Linked DNA regions of Mus musculus. The main gene of each other region encodes a partner of the protein of the gene in region 4 in a complex. Links are inferred from orthologs where the notes say so. Each region holds a gene or a part of one and is shown on either strand. Other genes may lie near its edges. The genes, in order: Prpf6, Lsm6, Usp39 and Ppih.

Region 1 (5,296 bases), on a different chromosome or scaffold from region 4:
GAATGTTGATCACCAGGGCCTGATGAACACTAGCTGTGACCAGCATCAAGGTGAAATCGTCTAGAAAGCATTTCTTCAGGGTCAGCCTGCAGAAGCTGCTGTAGAGGGAGCTACGGCTGCATCTTAAGCTGGCAGCCAGACTTGGTAATGTGTATGATGGCACTGGTTTTGTTTGCATGAAAGCAGCACAACTGAAGAAGTCATGAGAATAAACTCAGTCTTTGTACCATGTGATAGTGTCAGGAGAGGCTATTGTGAACGTGTATCCTCAGTTGCCATAGAGACCCCAAGATATTGAAGATGCCAGGTGAGATGACCACCAAGAAAGAATATGGCAGAGGTGAAGTAGAGTCATCTTGAGGCAACCAGATAAGCTATGTGTGCCACATACGGCAAAACTGAAGAAGTGCAATTGCCCAAGGTTTTTTGAAGCCCAGGAGATCATGAGTGATTCTATATGCTAGATATTGAACTACAGAGCATGGGTATACACTACTGGGTTTTGTTTTACTTAAATCTGATAGTTAACTATGCCCTGGCTCTTCCTTTATAATAGGGTAAAGGTTTCTCCATATTGTCTCAGCTGAAGCCATCTTTGGTTTCTACTCCCTGCCCTGAAAAGTCCCATGGGCAAATATCCAACCCTGTTCTAGAAACTCAGGGTCGAAATGCCCCAGCTAACTGCATATGCTTGGCTCTTGTTAAATTGCTTGTTTGCTTCCCTCTGCAACTGCCAACCATGATGTAGTTTTTTCTGTGTCCTTCATCTTTAAAAACTCCCTGTAATATGCACTTGGGGCTGCTCTATGTTCTTCTCCAGGCAATCACTAGTGAGCTTAATACAGAACAGACTCTCAATTCAAACTCTGATCTCTGGGTTACCCCATAACACTTTGGGGATTAAAAACAAATACATAACTTGTTTTCCATTTTACAAGGCTCACAATTAAAGAGATATTGAACTTTTTAAAGTGTTGGCAAATTTAAAGACTGTGGGATTTTTAAAGTTGTATTTTAATGTGTATTTAAATATGATATGAAAGTGGAACACAGAGAATACTAGGAGTTAAAAAAATTTAACTTGGGGAGGGGGGTGCTGGAGAGATGATGACCCAGTGGCTAAGAGCACTGACTGCTCTTCCAGAGGTCCTGAGTTCAATTCCCATCAGACCTCATTGCAGATGGCTCACAACCATCTGCAATGAGGTCTGATGCCCTTTTCTGGTCTGTCTAAAGAGAGCAATGGTGAATACATGAAATAAATAAATCTTTAAAAAAAAAAATTTAACCAGCCAGGCCAGGCGTTGGTGGCACACGCCTTTAATCCCAGCACTGGGGGGGGGGGGGGGAGAAGAGCAGAGGCAGACGAATTTCTGAGTTCGAGGCCAGCCTGGTCTACAGAGTGAGTTACAGGACAGCCAGGGCTACACAGAGAAACCCTGTCTCCAAAAAAAAAAAATTTTTTTTTTTTTACTGGGAATGTGGGTGAGAAGAAACAGGAAAGTAGTTGGTAGGGGTGGGTTAACCAAGACTAAAGATGTATGGAAAACCACTACTTTGGAAACCATAATTTGTTTTTAAAAGAGTTTGAACACAAGTACTCTGCAGGAATAGATTTGGCGGTTTGAATAAAAATAGTCCCCATAGATCCACAAGGAGTGGCACCATTAGGAGATGTGGCCTTGTTAGAGAACTGTATCACTGTCTATTCCTGTTGTCTGTGGGTCTAGGCAGATGTAGACCTCTCCTGTACCATGTCAGGCCTGCGTGCCATCATGCTTCTAGCCATGATGATAATGGACTGAACCTCAGAAACTCTAAGCCAGCCCCAATGAAACGCTTGCATTTATGAGAGTTGCTGTGACCATGGTCTCTTCACAGCCATAGAAACCCTAGCTAAGAAACATGGGTCATTAACTGAAAATCTCAGACCAGATGTGGCAGCAGAATTTTAGTAGAGCCATTATATCTGATATGAACTCTGGAGTGATGGCACCTAGATTTAGAAGTAGCCTTTTGTAAATATTGTCATCTGAAGTGCATAACTTAGTCCTATGATATACCTGGCAAACCAGGAAGTCTCCTATGGATAAAAACTCCCTCAGACAACTTCTAGATCAGATAAGAGGTTTAGTATTTGGAAATTGACTTGCTAAAGGCACCTTTTGTGTAACAATAAAGAGGCTCTGCAATGGAGTCCAGAGTTCAGTCCTTCAGAGGCTGATCCCCTGCTGTTGAGAAGCCTGAAATTGGGCTGGTGAGATGGCTCAGTGGGTAAGAGCACCCGACTGCTCTTCCGAAGGTCCAGAGTTCAAATCCCAGCAACCACATGGTGGCACACAACCATCCGTAACGAGATCTGACTCCCTCTTCTGGAGTGTCTGAAGACAGCTACAGTGTACTTACATATAATAAATAAATCTTTAAAAAAAAAAAAAAAGAGAAGCCTGAAATTCAGCCTGCAATGTCTCTTTCTTGGACAGATGGTTCCAGAACACAGGATGCCTCCCAATGAATTCACCGGTCAAGGAAGCCCCAAAGGGTTCCTTTAAAACAACACAAACTGTTGCATTGTTCTTGGCTGCCCTCCATAGCAAGATGGTAGACCCTATTGCTGAAGACACAACACACTTTGGTTGCTGGACATAGAAAATTCCAGAAAAACTGGAATTGACCTGAAACTTTTTATTGCTGGCTGGCTTTTGTAGGGCTGAAAGGTGTCATGCAGGCCACTTAGGAAGAAATGTCATTAATGGCCTTATATCCAACAGTTAATCTTGAATGCAATAATACAAGTCTTCCAAGCAAAATGTACCCATGGGTGCAATAGAGGTGGGGTTAACCAAGTGCTTGAGGCCTGCTCCACTGTAATATTTTCATACATGAGTCTATAAATCTGCACAAAAGCCTATGACTTGGGAGGTCCAGGCTATAGGGAGAAACCTACTTCTATTGCTTTACTAAATAGAAATGTCAAATTGGGGGACTGGAGAGATGGCTCAGCAGTTAAAGAGCACTGACTGCTCTCCCGAAGGTCCTGAGTTCAATTCCCAGCAACCACATGGTGGCTCACAACCATCTGTAATGAGATCTGATGCCCTCTTCTGGGGTGTCTGAAGACAGCTACATACTTACATATAATATTATACTTATATAATATTATACATATATATATATATATATTATACATATTATACTTACATATAATAAATAAATAGATAGATAAATAGATAGATTTTTTTTAAATGTCAAATTGCTTTCTACTTATGTTTATATCCATAGATCCAGGCTACTCCTAATCTTTACCAAAGTAGTCTTCTACAGTGAATGAAAAGAAAACCTAACAAATTGTCAAAGTGCTAAGAATAAATTATAGTAAGTGCTCATTCCTAAAATATCTATATCATCCGCCCCTTCATAACTAGAGATAATCATTGATGAGAGGTTAAAAGGTATCTAAGATTCAAGGCCAGCCTGGTCTACAGAGTGAGTTCCAGGACAGCCAGGGGAACACAGCGAAACCCTGTCTTAAAAAAACAAAAAAAAAAGGTATCTAAGAGCAAGGGATGGGTGGGTGCTGTGAAATGCTATCTTCTGAGTATGACATAGCTACTGCATTGGGGAACAAGACAAAGTTAACATCAGTCAATATTCCAACAGGTTGCACTCAGTGGGTTGACTCTGTGGGTACCAAAAAAGAGAAGAGATCATGAAGATGAGATGAGAAAGAGACCTGTTGGGAAGTACTAGGGTTGAGGTGGACCAGAAGTAGATAGGATCAAAATACACTGTACACACGTGAAGTTGTCAAATAATAAACAAAACATATTCTAAAAAAACTTCAGTTTTTTAGAGATTAGAGAGATAGCTTATCAATTAAGAATGCATAACTCCTCTTTCAGAGGACTCTAGCACAGTACCCAGCACTCTCTTTGGGAGAGTCACAAACACCTCTAACCCATGTCCTGGGAGATCCAGTGGCTCTGCCTACCTCAGGCCATGCATTCATGTGCACCCAGGCCGTGCATTCGTGTGCACACAGGCCGTACATTCGTGTGCACCCCGGCCGTGCATTCATGTGCACCCAGGCCGTGCATTTGTGTGCACACAGGCCATGCATTCGTGTGCACACTTACTCATCCACAGAACTTAAAAATAATAAAAGTAAACCTTTAAAAACTATTTTCAAAATCACCTCATCGTAGTTGGTATCATTCAGATCTTCATCATCATCATCAGCCGCCTGATTTTTCTTCATCTGGTCCCCCACAGTTCTCTTCCCTGGTGGGGCATGGCGATCATCCACAGGATCATTTGCATCCCGAGCAGGCCCGATGTCTGATCGGGTGGTGAAGCCAGTGGCACTAGGGGAAGCCCAGAAACATCATTATTTAAGTGACCCCGATCCCATGCTCTCTTTTGATCATCATTTAGTAACATCACTTCTCACACTTCTGGGAACTTCCAGAGATTCTAGAACCAATGAACTGGATGCCTACACATTCCTGGTCTTCTTTGTTTGCTAAACTTGTAACCTATAATGAGTAAGTCAAAGACCGTTTCTCTTCATTCCAAGGTGTCATTTCTTCTTCACATATACACACTATATAGGCCTATAGAAGTCTGAGTCTCACCCGGGCAGTGGTGGCGCACACCTTTATTCCCAGCACTTGGGAGGCAGAGGCAGGCGGATCTCTCAGTTCGCAGCCAGCCTGGTCTACAGAGTGAGTTCCAGGATAGCCAGGGCTACACAGAGAAACCCTGTCTCGAAAAACAAGAAAGAAAGAAAGAAAGAAAGAGAGAGAGAGAGAGAGAGAGAGAGAGAGAGAAAGAGAAAGAAAGAGAAAAAGAAAAGAAAGGAAAGAAAGAAAATGACACCTCATTCCCCAAAAGTGGGGTAAGTAGTTTTTGGCCATTCAATGGGTAATGGGTGTTTGTCATCAAAAGGCATGGAGGGGGTGAAGGGTTGGTTAAAAATTGTTAATGGCCAGGCAGTGGTGGTGCACGCCTTTAATCCCAGCACTCGGGAGGCAGAGGCAGGCGGATTTCTGAGTTCGAGGCCAGCCTGGTCTACAAAGTGAGTTCCAGGACAGCCAGGGCTACACAGAGAAACCCTAACTCGAAAAAAATTTTTAAAAGGCAGATTTCTGAGTTTGAGGCCAGCCTGGTCTACAAAGTGAGTTCCAGGACAGCCTGGGCTACACAGAGAAACCCTGCCTCGAAAAAAAATTTTAAAAAATTGTTAATGGTTTGGTCAGGGAGGAAACAAAACAAGGGAGGTTACATTCAGGGGACT
Region 2 (5,188 bases), on a different chromosome or scaffold from region 4:
GGGACACGGAAAATGTATTTACTCAAGTGAAAAATTTTCACCCTACAACAATTGTCTTTGCTACCATCCAACTGAAAACCATTCACAGACCACGAGGAGACTACAGTTAAAAAAAAAGTAATTTTACCATTTACAATTTGTTTCAGAATTCTATCACAAGAAGGTATGCACAGGGGACAACATGTGCTGGTCCAGATGCATAATATGGTTATTACCATAAAAATGGTAGCATTTCCCAAAGTCCATCTTGATTAAAAGCGGTTCCATGGATGAAAACAATATTCTGCAGTAGCGCTATTAAGCTAGAAATGGCAAGAGGGAAATAAAGACCTGCAGGCTGGAGGGGAGGTCAGGGAAGAAATGAGCAGAGCCGGGATGTTACAGACTGCTGGAGATAACAGCAGGGCTGCTTTCAGGGCAGCTGAGGGGATGAATGAAGGGATGCAGTAACCTGGCGGCCTCACACACTCTAAAAAACAAATGAGAACATGTGTGCTCCACTCCGAGAGACATCCATTTTCTCCTTTAAAGAAGCCATTTATAAAAGAGCAAATTGGTGATTTGTACTTACACACTGGTGCCTTTGCAAGCCCCTGTCAGGAAGTGATGAATTACTGAAGCTTAGGATAAAGTGTTTTATTTTCAGTGTGCACACCATCAAACCTTACTCCTCTCTTTCCTGAGTTATTAATTGTTTCTGATTACTATTTAAATTAGACAAATGCCATATATACACCTCTCCAGAAAGCACACCCTCCCTCCTTAGCTGTCCATCTGCCTCCACTTCCTCCAGCCGGGCAATTGCTCTAAAACTGTCCGACCTCCCGAGACAGGGATCTGTTTAGATTGAAGGAGGGTAAGGAAAGCCCTAGCGTCCATGCAACCAAAGCACCCACACACAGTCCACAGACAGCACAAGCCCGCTCAGCGGGAGTCACGTGACCTGAAGGCCAAGAATACAACCCTTTCCCCAAGGCCACTTGCTAAAGCAAAAAGCAGGAGAAACTTTCGCAGCCGAAGCTCAGTGCCTGGAAACTGAGTCTAAGCACTCTGGGCTTGCACCACCTCAGCCACAGCCAGTTTCTCAGGAACAGTAGAGCTCCTCCCCTGGCTGGCGTAACCAGCCATTGCACCAACACTCTCAACAGGGAGCAAGTTAACATGAAGAGTCTAACTGCACAGGAGGCTTCCAGGCAGTGTCTCACCTCACGTGGCTGACCTTTCCAATTCCTGACTCTACAGTTGCACTCCTTTGTGGAGATACCACCACTAACTAGGTGACTAAATAAACAGCTGATTTTCTGACCTCTTGTCCCTTTATAGCCCAAGGCTGAAACCATATGACTTTCTATCTACCTGCTTTAAATGGTACGGATGGTGAGTAGAGAAAGAGACAAAGGATGCCTCCAGAATGCTTGATCACAGGTTCCGGGATGTACCACTTAGTCAGCTGAATACGTAATCAACCAATGGAATGACAGGGCAGGAATCTTAGGTAAAATAATCCTGGAGAAACAAACTGTTTTAGTTTTAGCATTCTGTACAGGCAGAAATGATAAAGACTGAGACATAAATGTGAAAAACTTAAGAGTCGATCTGTAATGCAATACCTCTATCTTATTCCAATGTCAATTAAACAAACAAACAAACAAACCCCCACCAGCCACCATGAAAACAGGCCAACTAAGATGGTAAGAGAACCAAAACCACTTCATCTATCCATCTCTGAAGAGCACTGCCTCCTGGTGTCTTCACATCCGCCTCTTCTGTGTACTTATGTACAGCACTGGAAAGACAAGAGAACGAGCAGTCACTCGAGGGGCACAGCATCGGTTCAGTTTTAAAGGCATTCATGGGTCCTGGCCTACACCTCGAACACTTTAAAAGACTGTTTCTACCATGCAATGAAGGTCTCTATAAAACAAGCTTTGCGTCTAGACCGGGCTTGGACATCTTACCTGATTATAACTAGTCTTATCTATGCATGTTACTGACTTTACAAATTATGACTGGGAATTAGAAAAGTGAAAGTGCCTAAAATGTAAGAATGATTTGTAAATAGCTATATCACAAGTTTTGAAAAGGGCGAATCAGCCAGATCTGTTAGGTTAGGTGTCACATTCAGAATGACTAGCACATGTGTCTGGAGAGACGACGCCCATCACTTAAGAGCAGATGTAACTTGCAGATGTTACGGAGCAACAGGGCTGGGTCCCCAATTCCTACAAAGCAGTTCACAACCAACTGTAAATCTAGTTCCAGGGAGTCCAGTGACCTTGTGTGGCCTCCTCAACTACCAGGCACGCATATGATGTACTTACAGACATGCAGACAAACACTCATACACATGAAAAAAATGTAAAAGAAAGAAATGGCATTATTTTCGTTTATCTCCCCAGTTTACTCTGTAAATTGGTTTACTCTGATAATTTCCATAGGAGGAAAAAAATGAGAAAACATTTTTAAGAAAGCAAAGTCCTTATTCTGAGATTAGTATAAACCTTTGGTGTCATCCAACATGTATTTTCGCCAGTCATTCTTAGCACAGTGGAATGTGTGCTGCACAGAGATAGGACAAAAGGGGCTCTGGTCAGGCTGTCACCTAAGGTGTACCCTCCCTCTCCCATCCCACACATCTTCAGATACGAACAAGCTTGTTCAAAGTGAACAGTAGATGTTTCCTCAAAGAGTCCAGCACAGACTTCAATCAAGTGAACTAGGATCCTCTTTAAGACCCAACTACAAGTAGTAGGAATAATGACACCTGTTACTGAGGATGGCAGTAAAGTGTAGGAGCCATCAGAATAGGAGGAAAGCCACTGCCTGGGAAACCAGACAGGCTAGGTGGATGTCAGTGTAGGAATGGCTCCTGCTATGGGGGCTACTTAAGAGCATAATATTTCCAAGCAAAAGGAGGAGGGCAAGTAAGAATAACATGAAATAGAAGAAATTCTACTGAACTGCAAGCAAGGTATGTCTACAAAAGTCAGGATATTTAATTCCTAACGAGACCTAACTTTTAAGGCTTTTAAGAAGAGAACTTGAGAGCCACGCCTTCTGTCCTACTTCTGACACACGGAAAGGTACAAAGCTCCACAAAAGGCACCTAAATCTTGAACAGAAAAAGGACAAAGGACAGGCTAAATGTCAAGGGCGTTTTGTGGCACAGGATGGCTTCCACTCCCAGACAGCACTGCGAGAGTACAGTATGTGGTTGTGTGCCGCACACCCTCTGGGTCCCTGGTCTAATGGGCCTGCTTAGTATACCAATACCCCTCAGCAACTGAGAAAGAGAATTTCTAGTTCCAACCTCCATGGAAAATCCTCTTCCCACTCACAAACAGACCTGGTTTATACTAAAGACCTAAAATATAAGTACAACAAACAAGCAAAAGTAAAGAGAACCTTAACACTTAGACGCCCCGCAGCTCCCTATTACACGCAGGAACGGCCTATTCTGAACACTCAATGGAAGGGAAGCTCTTACCATTGTTTCCTCGGATGAACGCATCTCCGTACTTATTCTTCAGCTGTCCATTTACATACTCCTCTGTCTGTTCCAGGGCTATATTCATGTAGCCATCCAGGCAGGCCAGGACCCCTGGAGAAAAGTAAGACAGAATTCAAAATTACAGGCTATATCTTAGAACTGACAATCACTTTATTCATTAGCCTTCAGACACATAATATAAAAATTCACACTGTAAACAAAACTCAATAGACTTAAACACAAAAGGCGCCTGCCTTTCCTCGGTGCCCCTGTGAATGAAGGCTGGGCGGGCAGAGCATGAGAGGAGCTGTGCATCCACCACAAGACAGGCAGCCAACTGTCACTCCCTCCTGGGACGTGTGCTCACCACAGCAACTTTGAAAGCCTTCACAAAAGTATAAGCATTAGAATATTCCAACCAAAATGCCCTTCTATGGGAGCCCGGGACAGACATGGCAACTATGCAGGGACAAATGAGCCTCCATCGAGGTGACATTTGTTACTTCAGCCACTCGCTCGCTCGGTGAAATAGGGATCTGGCAGTTTGTCTCAGTCTTTCACAACATCTACTGCAGCAGATGAATGGACCCAGGGTGAAGAGGAAGTCTCCACAATCTGTTAAGATAATAGACAGCAGGTGCTCCTGAGAGACCATCTCAGAGCTGTGGCTCTCAGCGAGGAGCAGCTTGGGAACAGAGAGCAACATATTGCATTACAACACACTGCATTCTGTTTTGTCAGAGTTGGACTATTTTTAAAATCAAAACTAATAGAGAAAAACGGCTACAAACATGCCAGGGAGCTTTCAAGGAAAACAGCTCGGGTGGATTTTTACTCGTGTTAAGATGGCATAAATTTCTAAAATCTGACCAGAAGATTTTTTTCAAAAGATGAAGCTAGTAAGCTTCTAATTCTCATCTCTAAGCAAAACTGATATTTTAAAAGAGAATAAAAACACACCACAGATTCAATTCAATTAACTAAGTCAATAGTCCCATTTAAGATCTTAACTTCATTAATATGCTCCTGGCTCTCTGCTCTGCCCCCATTATCCTCTAGACAGAGGTTTCTTTTCAAATCTCTGTGTGTGTAATCTGAGCACAAGACATTAACCGAACAGAATTCTATGAGAAGGGATAAACTTTCAAAGAATCAGACTGGACTGTCAACTATCAAGAACAATAACTTCCTAGCCAAAGAAAGCTTAAGACAGTCTCCCAGTTTGCTTCTTCTCTGCTATGCTACACTGAAAGCATATTCAGAGACGAGTAGGAAACTTGCACTGCATGATATGGAATTAGACAACAGGGTCATTCAAAATGTAACATCACTATTATTCACTGTTTGTGAGTTGAGACTGGGAGGGAACAAGCAGAAAGAAAAAGGGCTTGAAGATAGCTGGCTATCATAGGACGACCCTGACTCAAAAGCAAGTAACCAAACATACACAAAATATTGGCAACAGGCTATTTACGTCAAAAAACTAAGACAAAAACAAAGTGATTTCCCCCTCTATGTTTTTAAAGATTTCATTTTACTTGTTATGGTGTGTATGGGTGTAGGTACATGCACACGAGTATAGGTGTCCTCAGAGGCCAGAGGTTGGAGCTGGAGTTCCAGGAGGTTGGGAGCTGCCAATGTGAGCACCAGGAATAGAATCCAGGTCCTCTTGGAGAGCATTATGCACTCCTAACTGCA
Region 3 (5,852 bases), on a different chromosome or scaffold from region 4:
GATGCCCTTTTTCCGGTTGCGTAGGGCCAGGCGCAGCGGAGCAGAGATGCTTTCGAAATTTGAGAACCTTCATCTGTGAGCGCCCGTAGAGCTGGAGGTCCTCTTACTTTGTGGTATCACCTGAACGAAAGAAGGAGTATATATAGCTAATACCAGGAAATTATTTTTAAAAATTCGAGTCATCCACGAATACTGAAAATGCATTCTATTAGTCTAGAGATGTTGACTTTCTTTTCCTAGCCCTTTAGTATAATAAACTTCACTATGAGATCATATGCGTGTGTCTATGTGTTGTGTGTATCTACTTTGCTCCTGTCTTTAAAGCTAGATTCTGCTCATGAGAAATATTTTGTCATCTCCATCACCTCTGCTCCATCTTCTTTTAGACCCCCTCCTTGCCTCCTATAGTTCTCTCCCCTTCTCTCCCCTCTTACACACACACACACACACACACACACACACACACACACATACACACTTAAAATCTAGGTCCTACATATGGGAAAAACATGCAATATTGGTGATTACTCTTTCTAAATTATACTGAATTCGCTTAACATCTTTAGGTTCACCATTTCCCTACAAATGACATTTCTTTATGGCAGAATTAAAGAAGACATGTTAATATATGCCACTTGGTTGACTCTTTAATCTAAATGTGCCTAGGTTTCCTTAATTTTGTTTTTGTAGTGTGTGTGTATAGGCAAGAGGACGACACTGGGTGCTCTTGTCTGTATTCTCTACCTGTTCCTTTGAGATAGGGCCTCTCACTTAACCTGTAATTCAGCTGACAGCCACCAAGCCCTAGTGGTCCTCCTGTCTCCATTTCCCACATGGCTAGGACTATAGGCATGAGCCCACTGTCAGCTTTTTCCACGGGTGCTGGAGTTTTGGACTCATGCTTGGACAGTAAGCTTTCTCACCAATTGAGCCAATCTCCTCCGTTTGTTTGCTTATTAGTGGACATACTAAAAACATCTGTCTCTGATAGGCAATGAGGCAGACAAGTGCTCACGTAGGTAAGTTTTCCCCACCCATACCCAGTCCCTATTTCAGCCACATTGGAGCTGCACTGCTGGTGTCCAGACCACTTGCTTAACTGACCATGAGAGGAACCAAGGCTTTTGAGGGTCTAATAGTGCATAGCCTTCTCTTGTTTCTTTCCTTCTGGCATGTAGCCTAGGATAGTCTTGAATTAACTATGTAGCTCAGTTGGCCTTAAACTTTGGGATTTGTTTTGCCTGATCCTGAGAGTATAGCTTTCCAAGTTTTCAGTTTAAAATGTAAACATCAGAAACTTATTAGAGCAGTGACAGAATCAAGTGCATCTGCTTGATGGAATTGTTATATTGAAAGTAAAGGAACAGACTGCCTTACCCTAGACGTGAATGAGACCTGGTCAGAAAGAGGAAACACCGACTCATACTTGAACATAAAATTCTAGGAAATGTAGTCACTATTGTGGTTTGGGTGGGATTCCACGTGGGCACAGGACATTTCTGGGGTGAGACAAGTTTCTTCTCTTGAATCTGTAAGTGTTCATACATCGCAATTTAGCAAATTAGACACATCAAACGTGTACTATCTTGTATATCAATTATACTTCGATGGAACTGTTCAAATAGGCAGGGACTAAGGCATGACTCAGTGGTAAGGCTGAATTTGAAGTTTTATTAGCTAAACAATAAATGCGCCTTAGCAGAGTATTTGCAAACTCATTTCAAGAGCCCTTTAAATATGATACTAATTGAAGTTCCCAGGTACAAGCCTGAATGAAGGAGTTAATTTGGGAATACTGACTCCTTTTCCTGTGTAGGTCATCAGTCCCTGATCAGGGGACATCTCTGGATCGTCGTTTCGAGACACAAATTGTCCTGAAGCTATCTCGGGTGGAGTGCTAGCTTCCTTTTCCCTAAAATGAAAGTAGCCTGTGAAAGGTTCCTATTTAAGCCGTGAAGAGATGTTGGACAAGGACACAATATGTTCGAAACTATCTCGGTTGGGCCAGCAGCGCTTATAACGTTTTATAAGCCTGTATTGTCCCTCACAGCGACTCGTAGCGCGCTGCGTTTCTATGAGGCCATCTCGACTTCTGATTGGCTGCTTGCTGCCCGTGCTCGGCGCCGGCGCGGAAGCTCCTAACTGGTGGTGGCGATGTCTAGCCGGTCCAAGCGGCAGTCCCATGGTTCCACCCGCGGGAAGCGTGAGTCCGAGTCTCGTGGCAGCTCGGGTCGCATCAAGAAGGAGCGAGACCGTGAGAAGGAGCCCGAGGCGGCGAGCTCCCGGGGTAGCCCGGTCCGCGTGAAGCGGGAGGCCGAGCCGGCTGCGCGAGAGGTCCCGGCGCCCGCGCTCCCGGTCGTGCGGGTGAAGCGTGAGCGCGAGGCCGATGAAGACTCGGAGCCCGAGCGGGAGGTGCGAGGTGCGCGGGGCCGGGCCGGGCGCGTCCTCTTCCTTCGCCTGCTTTCTTCTTTCTCCTCCTATATTTTTAAAGACGGGTCTCAGGAACTTGAAGTTGTAACCAGAGATGGCCTTAGACTCTTGCTTCCCCTTCTTGAAGTCTGAGATGCCCAGTTTTTGTCTGCTTTTTACTTTTCCTTTCTTCTGCCTCCCTGACCAGGCTTGAATCCAGCAGGCTGGATTGCCTGTCATAATACATCACAGCATCTCCCTATTCACGTATAGCCTACGTGGGTCAGGTGCTCTACTGACGACTGTACAGATGGACCCTTCTCCGTTCCCCCCCACCCCCCACAAATTCCTAAGAGTCAGAGTCATGTTGTAATTTTTGGAATAAGACCATTAGTTGAGTCCCAGTGCACTCAACTCAAGTATTGACTTTGTACTAGTTGAATAGTTTGGAGACACTAATGCTTCTCCTGGGTTTTGCATGGGGGTTGTTCCATGTTGTCTTGTAAAGGATGCTGATGTAATGACCAGCCTTGGGAGACAGATAGTATTATTCCATAGAGCAATAGGTAGGGAGTAAGGTCACAAGAAGATATAATCTTCTTTAAGGGCAGGGATCTTCTGTAAGGCAACCCACTATGAGCACTGGTTCTTTTTCTATTCTATTATGGGACTTAACTCTAGGATCTGGCAAAGATGTCATATAATAGGGTACTGTTATTGCTGTAGTAGACTCTTTGTTTTAGTCTGTGATCATGTGGCTTCTGTCAGCATCCATGAAGCTGTGTCAAGCTAACACATTAGGGTTAACTTTAGTTAGAGTTAACACATTAGGATTAACTCTCAGAACCAATACAGTTCTTGTACTAATAGTAGATTTAAGGATATTCAGCTTATCTTAGTACTTGTGATATATTTCATGATACTTTTCCTGCCCATTTGATATTTATTTATTTATTTATTTGCTTATTTAGGCAGGCTCTTACTAAGTAGCCCTGGCTGTCTTGGAACTTTGTCGGTAGGCCTCAAACTCAGAGATTTCACCTAGCCTACTCACTCAAGGGCTAGGATTAATGTACACCACCAATGCCTGGCATTTATTTATGTGTATGCATGTACCATGGTGTATGTGTGGAAGTCAGTGGGCAACTTGTGGGAGTCCGTTTTCTCTCCTAGCCTGTGTGTCACAGGGATTGAACTCAGATAGTTGGGTTGCTGGTAAGCACCTTTACTAAGCCATCTCACTTGCCTGGATTCCTTTATGTAATATATAAATTAATCTTTCATTGGTTATATATGTAATAGACCTACTCTTAGTTTGCAACTTATTTCATTAGTGGCCTTTTTTTGAATGTTGTCACTAAAGGAAATGGAAAAGCTCATCTTTTTGAGATGTGTGTGTGTGTGGTCCCTGGCTGTCCTAGAACCTAACCTAACTGATCAAACTCTCCCAATCTTAGTGATCAAATGTTCCCATTTCGGTGATTTTGTTTTGTTTTGTGTTTGCTTGTTTTGTGCCTGTGATTTGAGGAGAGCCTCCAGTCCTCCATTTATGATGCTGGAGCAGATCTTGGCTGTGCTAGTTAAGTGTTCTACCACTGAGCAGATCTTGCCTGTGCTAGTTAAGTGTTCTACCACTGAGCAGATCTTGGCTGTGCTAGTTAAGTGTTCTACCACTGAGCAGATCTTGGCTGTGCTAGTTAAGTGTTCTACCACTGAGCAGATCTTGGCTGTGCTAGTTAAGTGTTCTACCACTGAGCAGATCTTGCCTGTGCTAGTTAAGTGTTCTACCACTGAGCAGATCTTGCCTGTGCTAGTTAAGTGTTCTACCACTGAGCAGATCTTGCCTGTGCTAGTTAAGTGTTCTACCACTGAGTTACTTTCCAGCACAAGTTTCCCATTTAACAGCCTGTATGGATTTCTTCTCAGCAAAGAATGGCCGAGTGGATTCTGAAGACCGGAGGAGTCGTCACTGCCCGTACTTGGATACCATTAATAGGTCAGTAATATAGAAAGGCTGAGGGCAAGACTTGGTGATGTATCTCAGTAGTAGAGCAGTTGCCTGGCATGTCATAAGCCCAAGGTTTAATCACCAATACTATGCAAACAAACAAAATCAGTGGATTTTTAAAAATTTACTTTTATTTTATGTATGTTGGTATTTTGCCTGCATTTATGTCTGTGTGAGAGTGTCAGATCCCCTGGAGCTGCATGGATGTCTGTGGGAGTACCGCATCCCCTGGAACTGGAGTTACGGATAGTTGTGAACTCTCACGTGGGTGCTAGGAATTGAACAACTGGAAGAGCAGCCAGTGCTCTTAACTGCTAAGCCATCTCTCCAGCCCCATCAGAAGATTTTGAGATGCAGAATACAGTAGAAAATTCTCTAAACAGAGCATTGAAGCATTCTAACTCTCCTCCTTTTATGCCTGTCTGCCTAGAAAATTGTGCTTCTCACCATGCTCAGCCATGTTGTCCCTTTATAGTGGCAGAGTGCGCTTTTTGTTTTGTTTTGTTTTTTGAGATGTGTGTGTGTGTGTGGTCCCTGGCTGTCCTAGAACCTAACCAGGTTGTTGTCCTTGAACTCAGGGATTTGCCTGCCTCTGCCTCCTGAGCGCTGGGATTAAAAGCCTGCACCACCTTGCCTTTGAAGGTACTTTAATATCAGCCTCAGCACACAGGTTAAAGGAAAGAGCTTACAAGAAAGATACAGATTTTAAAAACTGGTTGAGTGTGTATTACTTTTAGCTTCAGAAGATATCATGTATATTTAAGAGGCATTTAACTAAATTTTTAAATTATTTTGGTGACTTAAAAAAAGTCAATACTGAGTTGTATATTTTAAAATAAATTTTATTAGTTTAAAAAAAAGAAAGTAAGATACACTAAAGAGCATGGTCATGGGGTTCTCAGAGGAGAATTCCTAGACTTTTGTTGTTATTTATGTGTATGTGTGTCCCTGCACAAGGTCATGTGCATGAGGGGCCTGTGGAGGCCATAAGAGGCCCCAACTCCCTTTGAAGTGAACTTGTGGGTGGCTGTGTGGGTGCTGCAAACTGAACTCTACCTGTCTGCAAGTGCTCTGAACCATTGAGCCGTCTCTTCCAGTCCCCAAAGTTTTGATTTGTTTCCTTGTTTTTGTATGGCAGAGACAGTCCTCTTTTCTTGTATATTCTCTGGTTTTTCAGTTGTCCTCAACCTATCTTCTAGAATGATGCTCTCCAATAGAATTCTCCACAACAGAGAATTGGGTTTTAAAATGTTGTTTGTTTTTTGAAACAAGGTTCTGATATATGGCCCAGGCAAACATTGAAATCTTAACTCTCCAACCTAAGCCCTGAGTGTAGGGGTTGTAGGTGCCCCACCAAACCCATCAGCAGTTGCTCTTAAGAGGGGATGTTTGCTGTGGGAAGCGCAGGCTACACGAGGCTCTTGGTGGTTTGACA
Region 4 (5,781 bases):
ATTTCTGTAAATGCACATGTGTGGATATGTACATCTGTACAGGCACTAAGGCCAGAAAAGGACACTGAATGGCTTCCTCTGTCATCTACCACCTATTATGTTGAAGCAGAGTCTCTCCCTCAACCTGGGCTTCCAGTTTTCTCCAAGAGGTTGGAAGCCAGTAAGCCCCAGTGAACATCCACCCTCCTCGAAGCTGGGCATGCAGGCATGTGGAGGGTACCCAGTTTGACACATGGGTGTTGGAACACTCTAGTCCTCCTGAGCCATCTCTCCAGCCCCAGTTCCAAAAGAATATAGCAATCCATGTATGTAATTTCAGCACTTGGGAGGCTGAGATAGGAAGTTGGAAGAGTTCAAAGCCAACCCATGATACACAGCAAGACTGTCTTAAAATTAAAAAAAAAAGTGAAAAAATGTTTCAAAAAAGACCTTAAGCTGGGCAGTGGTGGTGCATGCCTTTAATCCCAGCACTTGGGAGGCAGAGGTAGGCAGATTTCTGAGTTCGAGGACAGCCTGGTCTACAGAGTGAGTTCCAGGACAGCCAGGGCAATACAGAGAAACCCTGTCTCAAAAAACCAAAAGCAAAAACAAAACAAAACAAAAACCAAAAAACCTTAAAGGGTGTAACAACCAGGGCTGGAGAGATGGCTCAGTGGGTAAGAGCACTGACTGCTCTTCCGAAGGTCCTGAGATCAAATCCCAGCAACCACGCCCTCTTCTGGGGTGTCTGAAGACAAGTATAGTGTACTTACATATAAGTATCTTTGGGCCGGAGCAAGCATGAGAGAAGGAAAAGAGGGGGGGGGGGTAGCAACTGAATGCCCTCCAAAACAGAGGCAGAAGGGTACTTGGTAAAAGTGGTATAAGAGAAGCCAGCCTTTACTTCCTGGTCTTTGCTACCAGCAGTGGCAAACAGCATTTTAAATAGGCAAAGCCCCATACGATTTACTAGCCTAGAGACCCATCCCATGGGCAAACAACAATCCCTGAGACTGTTGTGCTTGCAGACAGGAACCTCGCATGGCTGTCCTGAGAGACTCCACCCAGGAGCTGACTCAGGGATGCAGAGACCACAGCCAAACATCCGATGGAGCTTGAGGACTCCTGAGGGCCTCCGAGGGGATTGGAACTCCACAGGAAAACCAAGAGTCAACTATGACCCTTGGGGCTCTCAGAGACTGAACCACCAACCAAAGAGCATAGACAGGCGGGACCTAGCCCCCTCCCACACACACACGGTCTTTCATGTGGGTCCCGAACAACTGGAGTAGGGGCTATCCCAAAAGCTGTTGCCCTGCTGTGGAATTCGTTTCTTCTGCTTGTCTGGACTCAGTGGGAGAGGATGAGGCCAGCCCTGCAGAGACTTGATGTGCTAAGGTGGAGGGAAAACCAGAGGGGGTCTCTACCCTCTCAGAGGAGAAGAGAAGGAGGGGGTGGGGAAACCGGGAGAGGCGGCAGCACTGGGGATGTAAATGTGAATTAAAAAATAAAAAATTTTACAATCATAAGAAAATAAATAAAATTACATTTCCAGCACCCGACTGAGCCAGGCTACAGTAACAAACCATTTTAAAATATGGAAGGTGACTCAGGGATCCTCGGCTCATGAGCTGTGACAGGGGACACCAAGTGTGACTGCTCAGGACATGCTGTCTGCAGAAGATTCATTTCTATTGCACTAATACAGTCATGCAAGTGGGGAGCCCACAGACTTTGACAAAGATGCCTGCGTTTCCTCCCCTCAGCTCCGACCAGCTCAGCCAAACAGTACCATTCCCAACAACCTCAGCGCGCGCCACACTTCCGGGGCGGGGCGCAATCGCGGTCCGTTTCCACTGCGTCTGCGCTCCGGATGAAGTTCGCGGGACCTGCCACCGGAAGCCGGGTTTCTACTTCCGGGTCAAAGCCATGGCGGTGGCAAATTCAAGTCCAGTCAATCCAGTGGTCTTCTTCGATGTCAGCATTGGCGGCCAGGTGAGGTGCGGGCGACCTAGCGGCCCGTGCGGGCTGGTTGGCCTCGGGTAAGGGAGGCAGCCCCTTATAGCCCTCCCGAGACCGGCTGGGCCAGGCGGCGGAGGGAGGTGGGAGCTTTCGAGCTTCGTGGACAGCGGTCGTGAGCTGAGTGTTGCGTCTCCCGTTTCTTCTGCAGGAAGTTGGTCGCATGAAAATCGAGCTCTTTGCAGACGTGGTGCCTAAGACGGCAGAGAACTTTAGGTAAGGATATGCTCCAAGTGAACCAGAGCTGAGCCCGAAGCCGGCCTCCAGTCGGTCTTTGCCATGTCTGCCTCTGTCCATCTATTCATTGCCTTGCAGCTCTGTGGTCTGGGTATTTCACTGGCCAAACAGCTACCGGCTGTGACTGATCCCATATCAACTTCTATCACTAGTCTACCTGCCCTGACATCCGCCCGATCAGTTAGTTGGCGGACATACTGGCCCCAGTGTTTGAACTCTCCTCTCCAGAGATTAGAGGTGCTTCAAGCAGTGATCGTACGAAGGCTAAATCGTTTGCTCTCTCTTTCCCTTTAGGCAATTCTGCACCGGAGAGTTCAGGTCAGTCTCAGATGTGTTTGATTTCTCTGCCTACTCCTGAAGGGGTGCCCTGGATGTTTGGTGAGGGTATTGGAGAACCATGAACAGGTCTTAAGTAATGGAAGATGATATGCAGAGAGAGGGTGACACCTTGAATGGGTTCTTTCTCTCTCTTTTTCCCCCTCCAGATCTTAGTGAGAGCCCTTTTAGCCTCTGGTGTAGCCTAAATGGGAAAGGCCCACCATTGTGTTTCCCCATTCCAAGTCTCTTCCTTCTTTGTTTACAGAAAAGATGGCGTTCCGATAGGATACAAAGGAAGCACCTTCCACAGGTAAGGGAGGTTTTTGGAAAACTGGAAATGCAGTCATTGCTTGGTATCTGTACAGGCAGTCCTGCACACCTGAGTTCAAACTCTGTGAGGCTTACGGCTGTTGTTTTAAATGGCATGTTCGCGGCTGAGGCTGTAGCTCGGTGGTAGAGAATTGGCCCAGCATTCATAAGGCCCTGGATTTGGTACTGAACACCATGAAGCCTATGCACAGCGCCTTAAGTCATCCCTGACTTGGTGGAATGCTGTATTGCAGAAACGATGCCAAGGAAAGCATGCTGTACCCTTTCAGTACCTGTTCAGTACAGGTGCGTGGCCACGTGCTCCCAGAGGTCTAAGCTCAGATCCTTAGGCTGCCACAGCAAGCACTTCACCCACTGACCCATCTCCCTGGCGCCAGTCAGGACTTCAGCAGAGGCTTTGCTAGTTACCGTTGCTAGGCAGTCATCTGTAGGAGCCTGGCTTTCATGATATATTTACTTATTTTTTGTTAGAGTTTGACAGAAGTTGCTCTATTCTAATCCTGAAAATGTCCATGTCTCCCACATAAGGGCTTTAAAGCTACAGTCTGTAACCCTCCCTAGCATTCTTGTGAAGTAGTATGTGTTTTCCGAGTTCTTCAAGGAAGGCTAAGCAAAGCGAAGGGCCATAGCTGGTGTACTAGCTAACACCATCAAGTCTCTGTGTGTGCAGTAGTCCATTCACCTAGATTTGCTGTTGTTCTTTTCCCCCAAATTGCAATAAGCCCTGGACATGATTTTTTCCTTTGGTGACTGTTGGTGATTCTAGCCTGGTTTCAGCCCCTTCCTGATGTTCAGGTGCGAACTCACGCATCTAAGATCAACTGAGTTAAGACTGTACTTGCTCGCCCTTTTCTAAGCTTCAGTGATTAATCCACTGAATCTTTTCTCAGGATTTTTTTTTTAACTGTTTCAGGGTCATAAAGGATTTCATGATTCAGGGTGGAGATTTTGTTAATGTAAGTACTGCTTCTTTTCTTTGTTATTTTTTTCTGGCAGGGCCCTAGTCTTGAGACTTAAGAGCAATAGCTAAGTTAAGTGGAGAGGGCATGGGATGTACTGTAGAGTTGCTGGCTACCACTGACTGTGTCCTTAGAACACATAACAATACTCTACTGAACCATAAACTTCCACTTTCCAAACCCTAGCTGTTTGTAACTAGAAACTGGGCTTTGCTGGCATACCTATAGGTGATCTGAGACGGTCCACATTCATTGTTCACAGAAAACTTTGAAATTGACTGCAATTTTTCCCTCAAAAGGAAGGGAGCTGACTGCTTTTGTCTCCCATTTTTCCTTCCACATCTGCACATCTTCTGTCACTGTCTAAAAACTCTAGTTTTTTGTTGGATTGCTCTGGGGGGGGTTAGGGGCCGGTCTTTCTTTCTCTTTTCCTTTTGAAAGCTAAGGTATTAATCACAAGCTGGTTAGCAAGCAAGGGATCAGATCAGGAGAGACAGGAAGTTTAAAGGGTGTTCGCTTGCTTGCTGAGGTAGCCCAGCAGATCCATTCTTCACAAAAAGACCATGACTGTTGGTGTCTCCATCCTTCCTTGGAGTGTGTCCAATAAGCTAGAATATCTCTTTCTTAAACCAGCTCTTTCCTTACCCATCCACCTCTGTGCATGCTGTCTCCTTGCTGTTAGCATTGTTTATGTGGGTGTGTTACTAAGTCCTTTTGTCTGAGAGATGGTCTTACTCCATCAGTTGTAAATTTAGTTAGATTTTTGTGAGTCTTTAGAGGTCTTCCTCCTACACAGGGTTGCAATGGCAGGCTTTAGGCTGAATCCTGCTTCCACTTAGGCTGCATTTTAACTATGTGATACTACTGGGAAATCTGGGGGACTGGAGAGATCGCTCAGCAGTTACACTGTTGACTCTTCAGAAGACCCAGGTTTGATTCCCAGCATCTACATAGCCATCTGTAACTCCAGCTCCATGAATCTGAAAAACAAATATGGGAGGGTTTGGGGGCAGAAAGCGAAGGGGCAGTGATGTGATTATAATCCCCAAAAACCTAAAATAAAATTTTAAATAATAATAAATGAATTTTAAAAAGGGAAAAAAGAGCTGGGCTTAAAGTGCAACAGTGTTTCTCCACACATCCAGTGTGTGTGTGTGTGTGTGTGTGGTGTGTGCGTGCACACATGTGCTCAAGAGCATGCAGGTGTACAAGCCCATGGATGTTGGGGCCAGAGGCAGACATGTGGTGTGCTCTGTCAGTCACTACCTTACTACCTGGAGACAAGGTTTCACTAGATGAGAAGCTGCTTGGTTCAGCTAGGGCAGCTGGCTGGCTAGCTCCCCTTAGCACTGCACCATTCTCCCTGGCCTTCCAGGGTGTGCAGCACTCCCGGCCTCTGATATGTCTCTTTTCTACTCAGGGCGATGGCACTGGAGTCGCCAGTATTTACCGGGGTCCATTTGCGGATGAAAATTTTAAACTTAGACACTCTGCTCCAGGCCTGCTTTCCATGGTAAGTGAGGTTCGGTTAAGATTTGGGGTTAGATCAATGGCTGGTTTCTGGTGCTTTGTTGAGGCTTAGGTCTGTCTCTTGGAATCAGGCCTCACCTGCACCTAGCCCTCCTCCTTCCTTAGTGTGCTTTGATTCTGTTGGGCAGGTGCAAGCAGCTGTGGAAAACACTGAGCTCTGACTTGGGCCTTTGTTTGCACCAAGACTGGCTTTAGCCTCAGTGGTGTGCAGGCTTCCAAGGCTGGTATTCACCTTCGTGTGGCCCTGGTAGCCGTGATTCACTCACCACCATCGTGACCACACACGTGCTTTCTCCCTCTCCAAGCTCATCCTTTCTATCCCCACATCTTGATATCTCTTCCCCACTCCTGGCCCTGCTCAGACTCCCTCATACCTTCATCCAGCTCACCTCTGCTCATTGCTTGCCCA

The links.
Region 1: Ppih (region 4) and Prpf6 share a complex: the UniProt entries of both Homo sapiens proteins name them as parts of the U4/U6-U5 tri-snRNP complex. The link is inferred for Mus musculus from reciprocal best matches to the Homo sapiens genes PPIH and PRPF6.
Region 2: Ppih (region 4) and Lsm6 share a complex: the UniProt entries of both Homo sapiens proteins name them as parts of the U4/U6-U5 tri-snRNP complex. The link is inferred for Mus musculus from reciprocal best matches to the Homo sapiens genes PPIH and LSM6.
Region 3: Ppih (region 4) and Usp39 share a complex: the UniProt entries of both Homo sapiens proteins name them as parts of the U4/U6-U5 tri-snRNP complex. The link is inferred for Mus musculus from reciprocal best matches to the Homo sapiens genes PPIH and USP39.

Annotation. Positions count from the first base shown.
Region 1 is NC_000068.7:181,607,188-181,612,483, reverse strand, and holds part of Prpf6 (pre-mRNA-processing factor 6), read right to left. Parts: intron 4,365-5,296; coding exon 4,196-4,364; intron 1-4,195. UniProt on the Homo sapiens protein: Involved in pre-mRNA splicing as component of the U4/U6-U5 tri-snRNP complex, one of the building blocks of the spliceosome.
Region 2 is NC_000074.6:78,806,460-78,811,647, forward strand, and holds part of Lsm6 (U6 snRNA-associated Sm-like protein LSm6), read right to left. Parts: intron 3,602-5,188; coding exon 3,488-3,601; intron 1,787-3,487; coding exon 1,752-1,786; 3' UTR 1-1,751. UniProt on the Homo sapiens protein: Plays a role in pre-mRNA splicing as component of the U4/U6-U5 tri-snRNP complex that is involved in spliceosome assembly, and as component of the precatalytic spliceosome (spliceosome B complex).
Region 3 is NC_000072.6:72,341,452-72,347,303, reverse strand, and holds the start of Usp39 (U4/U6.U5 tri-snRNP-associated protein 2), read left to right. Parts: upstream 1-2,128; 5' UTR 2,129-2,154; coding exon 2,155-2,419; intron 2,420-4,335; coding exon 4,336-4,405; intron 4,406-5,852. Other genes in the region: 0610030E20Rik (UPF0561 protein C2orf68 homolog), read right to left, coding at 1-73.
Region 4 is NC_000070.6:119,316,602-119,322,382, reverse strand, and holds the start of Ppih (peptidyl-prolyl cis-trans isomerase H), read left to right. Parts: upstream 1-1,859; 5' UTR 1,860-1,908; coding exon 1,909-1,974; intron 1,975-2,149; coding exon 2,150-2,214; intron 2,215-2,529; coding exon 2,530-2,553; intron 2,554-2,818; coding exon 2,819-2,863; intron 2,864-3,796; coding exon 3,797-3,839; intron 3,840-5,262; coding exon 5,263-5,355; intron 5,356-5,781. UniProt on the Homo sapiens protein: PPIase that catalyzes the cis-trans isomerization of proline imidic peptide bonds in oligopeptides and may therefore assist protein folding. Participates in pre-mRNA splicing.